Tribolium castaneum: one gene and its partner. The protein of the gene in region 1 interacts with the protein of each later gene in a biochemical or structural test. Links are inferred from orthologs where the notes say so. Each region holds a gene or a part of one and is shown on either strand. Other genes may lie near its edges.

Region 1 (3,362 bases):
TTTTGTAGTTATTTAGTGTCGGGTGACGCCGATGGTAAGTGCTACATCTGGGATTGGAAAACTACAAAGTTGTATAAGAAGTGGAAAGCGCACGATAATGTCTGTATCAGTGTGCTGTGGCATCCGCACGAGCCGAGCAAGTTAGTGACAGCAGGCTGGGATGGACTTATCAAATACTGGGATTAAGTTTCCAAGAAGGTGTAAATTTTAAGCGAAATAAAATATTTTAATTAGAAGATACGTCCTTTCGCTATGGTCACGTGATCGTTATAACCAATCAACGTAAGCGATTTCGGTCACCTGACTTATGTCTACGGTGAAACGTCACTCATTTTGCGTTTTTAAATGCCTACGTCTAATTTTGACAGCGAGATTTTAATTCCGCCGTTAAAGCATTTAAAAGATTAGAAAAAAATTAGATAAAAAATGATGTTTTTGCAATTGGAAAAAAATAAAGAATGATTATTAGTATTTTATTTAATAGTAATTAAATTTTCTAACATCAGCATTTGCTTTTTTTTCAAAAAATCTTTGTTCTCTAAATCGTCCTTTTAATTATTAATTTTTTTAATTAATTAATTTTTTCTCAAACTGTATTTTTTCGTCTTTGCAACAATCACACATTAAATTCACTTTCAAAAGACAATAAGTTGCTACTTTCGTTCGTTCCTATGTTGATTTCTAAATTTTCTAGATAATTTAAATGGAGAATTAAATACTTTAATGGGACTTTAATTTTTAAATATATATTTAAAATGATGAAACGGGGTGTTCAGTATTATAACTAATTAAGTCCGTTAGACGAGTTTTGAGTTACACAGGTCCGGACTTTGCTGGTATTTTGCAAATTTGTTTTATGGTGGAGTGGCATAGTTTTTTGGTAATGACTAAAAGACAACGTAGATTGTGAAATAACGTAATTAGAGTATGATTTTACAGCATACGTTTCTATTTTCTATATTTTTCTCAAAATTGACACAACTTTTGGTCATTTACTTCAGATTTTTTGCTGTTGAATGACTGTTAGATGCTGATTTCAAGAGAATCAACGATTTTTTCTATCATTAGTTCTCTGGTCCTCCCTAGTTTGTGAATGAATCCAAGTATAAACAACTCTCGCTTTAGTAAACCACTTTTTCCAATCCGTGCCAAAATTTGAATATCATCCAAAGGCCATAAATCTCCCCCACCCGCCCCTCAAAATCCATAAAATTCCTGCTTTCGCGCATGCGCCCCTACTACCCATCCCGCAAACATCCTCCCGCTTTGTTTACGTATGCTGTCAAGCGCGTCCATTTCCTAGTGCCGTTTGCGTGCCCCCATGGACGACCCCGGCAGAATGATGGGCCACACCGGCGGCGGCCTGATGCCCCCTCAGCCGTACATGAACGCCCAGGACGCGCCCGCGGGCGGCGAGAACGAGCCCCGCAAGCAGGACATCGGTGAGATCCTCCAGCAGATCATGAACATCACCGACCAGAGCCTCGACGAGGCCCAAGCGCGCAAACACACCCTCAACTGCCACCGCATGAAGCCGGCCCTGTTCTCCGTGCTGTGCGAAATCAAGGAGAAGACGGTGCTCAGCCTGCGGAACACGCAGGAGGAGGAGCCCCCCGACCCCCAGCTGATGCGGCTCGACAACATGCTGATCGCCGAGGGGGTGGCGGGCCCCGAGAAGGGCGGCGGCGCGGGGGCCGCCGCCTCGGGCTCCGCCGCCGCCCAGGCCGGCCAGCCCGACAACGCCATCGAGCACAGCGACTACAGGGCCAAACTCGCCCAAATCCGCCAAATCTACCACCAAGAACTGGAAAAGTACGAACAGGCGTGCAATGAGTTCACCACACACGTTATGAACTTGCTGCGGGAGCAGTCCCGGACTCGCCCAATCACCCCGAAGGAAATCGAGCGGATGGTGCAAATCATACACAAGAAATTCTCCTCGATTCAGATGCAGCTGAAACAGTCGACTTGCGAGGCTGTTATGATCCTCAGATCGCGGTTTTTGGACGCCAGAAGGAAACGCCGGAATTTCAGCAAGCAGGCGTCGGAAATTCTAAACGAGTATTTTTACTCGCATTTGTCTAATCCCTACCCCAGTGAGGAGGCGAAGGAAGAGTTGGCTAGGAAATGCGGGATCACAGTGAGCCAGGTGTCGAACTGGTTCGGGAACAAACGAATCAGGTACAAGAAGAACATCGGGAAGGCGCAGGAAGAGGCCAATTTGTACGCGGCGAAGAAGGCGGCAGGGGCGTCGCCCTACAGCGGCACCCCGACCCCCATGATGTCCCCAGCGCCCCCGCAGGACTCCATGGGCTACTCCATGGGGTCGGCCTACGACCAGAGCTCAGCCTATGACGCCAGTAGCTGTGGTTACGACCCAATGCACGCACAGGAACTGTCGCCCTAATCAAACCCTAGCTTAATTTTAAGGAAATACAGTTGTATACTAACCCATGTATACCGAATTTTGTATCGTGTACAGTGTGTTTCTGGGTTCAATTGCTTCAAGTTTTACTTTTCTGATAGTATAGGACGTACTTGCAATATATTTTTAGGTTGATTGTTTTAGGAGTTAAGGCGAGTTTTTCTTCAGTATTTTTTGTATATTTACTTATTTTTATCGATAAGGAGCAGCTGGGTGAGAGAACTTTGCTTTAACGCCGAGGTTTTTCCATCGAAAATGAAATTACAGTGCTTACTATTTAAATAAATAACTGTAGTAACACGTGGATCATTTTTTCAACATACATGAAATAATCACAGAAAATCCTACATGGAAATAAAGGGCGTAGAGAGACTCACGTGAATAAAAGCCCCATAAAAATTAACTCACTAAAAAAAAACAATCACTGTCATTGTGGATAGATTTATAAAATAATTACTCAGATGTCAATAAAAGTTTTAGATTTTTTAGACGAAGCGTCGTTAATTTAATTCGCAATTAAATGCGTGATTAACTGGACACGTGACCAAATTAAAGAAATGTGATTGGTGATTTAAGAGGTATGCAGAAATAACTTTCTAGGATAAAATTTAGTTCCTCTGTAAACCGAGATTCTAGGGGTGCAATTTCAGTTGGGACACCCTGTATAGAGACCAGAGGGGGAACGTAATACCCACTTATTACATAAATCACAACTTATCGTGAGCTTTTTTCTTTTTGGTATATGGGTATTTTTATCTGTGTGGGCTTTAAATTTTTCTGCTCAGACCCCACAATTAAATTTGCCGCTGTGACACTTCCAGTTATACCAACACTACACCGAGTTGGGCCCGTCGATATACGCTTATTTTGGCTTAAATTTTATTATTTTTGCTTTGATAACCACTTTGCGTGTTTAGCGAAACAATCATTGTGGAAA
Region 2 (3,759 bases), on another chromosome or scaffold:
ACGTTTAGTATGGGTATGTAAAAGCTACTAACAATCTACAATGAATAAAAAAATCCAAAATAAAAATTTTGGTTTTATTTACATTTTTTACACGTTATTAGATATCTATATGTACTTACATATATAACTTCTTAGGGGTGTCATTCTTTTTGATCGTGACTGTACCTACGTGCAAAAAAAATTGTATGCTAAAGTTATATCACCACACACTACTGTTACCACATCGGTAGGTATAGTCTTACCTCAGTTTTTTGAGATGAAGTTATCAGAAAGCTTAGATTACAAATGACAAATTTAGATCAAAGGGTTGGCATATTTCCATAGGTATAAAAATAATTGGGATTTATTAAAATTGAGAGAATGGTGATAGAAAAATTCCATGCACATATACCTAAGTTGGGTAAAACCAGAAAAACTGAAATTAATTTAATTTTTACGCAACCTAAGTATTTATCTTTCAAAATTTTTACATACTTTTTAACTGTTTAACTTATACTAAGACAGGTGCAATTCGACATAAAGCAACCTACAAGTAGAGTTATTTAAAAATATAGACCTACTAAATCATTTTTTCATCACTAACTCTCCAAGTTAGTTCTACTAAGATTTGTACAATAATTGTTTTTATTGTCTTTATTTTTACAATGAAGCAATATTATTTTTTCGAAGGATTTTGATAAATTTTTATTATAGTTAGGTATAAATCGTAACTTTCAACACTCACTTATTAAAAGCTTTTTGAGGTCAACGTCGCTAATTTGATAAAGTTGTAACTACATAAATGGTAGTAAAAATTAAGTTGTAGCTAGTGCGTGTTGACATAAATAAAATGACTATTTAGTGAAACCAGCTTGATTTGCATTTCATGTGTTTTATTTGGTCGATTACATTCCGGAAAATTTTAGCCAAATAGAGTTGTACGGAACACTTGATAAGAATTGTTTAAATTACTTGAAATATTTATTTTTGCTAGTTGGTTGTTATTTTGCGCTCAATGTGAATGGGAATAAGATTGATGGCTTGGCAAAAACTCGTTATTATTGATCGGATTTGTCACATCAAAGCCATGTCCAAATATTTTTTTTCTAAAGTCCTATTGGAATGGTTGTAAAATCAGGCCTCGTGCCCCTGTGCCGTGTACCTACACTTGACCCTGCGGCACTTCGCTCACCTCCCTAATAAATAAGTCTGAATGATTCATTACGTCCCTGCTACCGGAATCCGTGAACCACACACTGCTCAGCTGAGCGTCAAATCTTAAACAATTCCGAAATTATCAATTTTCAAGTCGTTGTCCCGCCCCTTGCCCCTCCGAGACTCCTCCCCGCGCCTGCGCCAGTGGCGTCTCGCCACGCCGTTCCGTGTGAAATCCCCCCTCGAAACGGCCCATCTCTGTTTATCCCGCACTCGGCTGCGCATCGTCTCGGTCCTTTCGGTGTCCTCCTTCCCGCATGTTCGGCTCGCATCTACTAAACCCAATCAACGTGTGGTATTGGGCAGTCGTGGCGCCGCTACGCAACCGTCTCGACGCGAATGTCCATCACTTACCCATAAACCAGCACGTGATGTGGTCGATGGTACTTGACGCGGTGTCATTCGGTGGTACCTGAAGCAGTGATAGTGCCCTTTCGGACCCAGTGCGTGAATGCCACAATGAGCTCCTACCAGTTCGTCAACTCCTTGGCCCAGTGCTACGGCCAGCAGGCCCGCGACCAGCAGAGCAGTCCCGGGACAGACTATTACAACCCCAACGCGAACTCCACCTACCCCCCAGCATGCTACTCGCCCCCGCAGGTGGCCCCCCAGTACCCGCAGCACCCGTACGCGGCCCCGGCGCCGGGCCACGGCCTGCAGCCCACCATGGGCGACTACACCCAGCTGCAGCCGCAGAGGCTGGCCTCGACCCACCTGCAGAGCCCCAACACCCAGACCCACCCTTCGGCCAGTTGCAAGTACGCCGATTCGACCTCCTCCACAGGAGTCGCCTCCCCGCAAGATCTGAGCACGAACGGAGCTCCTCCAAGGAGTACTCCGCCGCTTTCAACCCCCAGTAACAGCAACGCGACGAAGAGCTCGGGACTGACGTCCCCGCTGTCGGTCAGCACTTCGCCACCAGGCAAACCCGCGACCTCCACGGCATCGCAAAACTTATCCTCGCCGGCTTCTAGCACTAGTTCTACCTCTAGTACCGAAAAAGCCGGCACCAACAACAACAACTCCAAGAGCGGCCAATCGAGCAACCCGCCTCAGATCTACCCCTGGATGAAGAGAGTTCATCTCGGCCAAAGTAAGTGATATGACGTAAATCAAACGTGTCTCCAGTGGGCCATAAATACGATTCTTTTAAATGTTTCAAGAACCACTTGTGGAGCCGCGATTCGTTGCGACTTGATTTAGATGTAAACGCATCTATCCAATTACGAACGAATGAGATAATAACATAGTGGAGAGTCCGCAGGCATGAATATCGCATGAAAAATGCCTTACGCCCCTGCAAAACTTGACACTGCTGCAACGGATACTAATAAAACGAACGAGACCACAACACAAACCCATCTATAATTAACAATGTGTTTTTACTTTTTACAAAGGGTTTTGTGGAACGGTTGCACCAATCTGATTCAAATTCTTAAAAGAAAGGAGCACACACGAGAAATGATACTTAGATCTAGATCCTGCCACAAAAAAAAAACAAAAAAAATGTTCATAACGCAACTAGCGACCTACTAAAACTGTTGACAAAAATCATTAAAATCATATCAAGCTGTTTAAACGATTTGATAATTATTTCTTCTGAAACCGTTGCCCACGATTATCTAAAATTGTATCGTTACATAACGTCCAAGAATGATTAATTATTATTCTAACCTAATCATGATTTATTTTATTCCTATCTGATTAGAAACATAATTGACTTAACACAACTTTTCCAAGAAGAAACTAGAATAGTAAATTTTGAAAGAAAAGTCTTATAAACTTATTCTTATTTTATTCTATCATGTTATCATGCTCTTAATAATTCTCCACTAGTGCTGTTAAAAAACGATTTTTTTATTAGCACATATTCAGTTCTACACAGAAGTACGTCTCTCCAAGATTAGGAGCCAAACTCCGAGATTCCTTTAAAGCAATTTTAACGAAACAATATTTACTTTTCTTTGTTAATAATAATGAAATGTAAATGTAAGTGTAAAATAAACCGTTTCACGATAAACGTTTTTTGCTTTTTACACTCGAAAATCAAAATTTTCTCTTCTAGGTAATATAAAAATATAATAACTTCAGAACATTTGATTGCCCAAAATAGAGCACGGCTGTAGCAAGCTAAACCACAGTAACCGATAATTTTTTAATTAGTTATTTATTTCACGAGTGGATTATTAAACCACGAGTGAAAACCAGTGGATTATTACACCACGAGTGAAAACGAGTAGCTTATTATCCCCGAGATGAAATAAATGAACCGATTTACACGAAAATGAGTTAAATACAACGTTTTATTCTTCTAATTAGACAGAACAACGCTTAAAATTGCTTTAAATTTGTTAAAAAAAATTGTATTAAGAAATGCTAAAGGGTTGTCAAAACTTCCTTACACAGGAGAAAAACCGTAAATTTTGAAAGTGTCGAAGAATAAATGAGTTTTTATACATGTTTTACTATATTTTTATGCTTAGATGCATTTAAATACTCGCTAGCATTTTTTTTGTTTAAATTAATAAAAAAATTGTTTCTTTCTTCATAAACTCCAACTGCAAT

Evidence for each region. The genes of interacting proteins can lie anywhere in the genome.
Region 2: the proteins of exd (region 1) and Cx are reported together in a solved structure, tested with the Drosophila melanogaster proteins (2 studies listed by BioGRID, with this or other methods). The link is inferred for Tribolium castaneum from reciprocal best matches to the Drosophila melanogaster genes exd and Scr.

What each region holds. Positions count from the first base shown.
Region 1 is NC_087400.1:5,271,066-5,274,427, reverse strand, and holds exd (extradenticle), read left to right. Parts: upstream 1-1,317; 5' UTR 1,318-1,321; coding exon 1,322-2,407; 3' UTR 2,408-2,725; downstream 2,726-3,362. Other genes in the region: pre-mRNA-processing factor 17, read left to right, coding at 9-186. UniProt on the Drosophila melanogaster protein: Transcription factor which acts with the selector homeodomain proteins altering the regulation of downstream target genes such as wingless (wg), teashirt (tsh) and decapentaplegic (dpp), thus affecting segmental identity.
Region 2 is NC_087397.1:6,806,536-6,810,294, reverse strand, and holds the start of Cx (cephalothorax), read left to right. Parts: upstream 1-1,420; 5' UTR 1,421-1,653; coding exon 1,654-2,287; intron 2,288-3,759. UniProt on the Drosophila melanogaster protein: Sequence-specific transcription factor which is part of a developmental regulatory system that provides cells with specific positional identities on the anterior-posterior axis.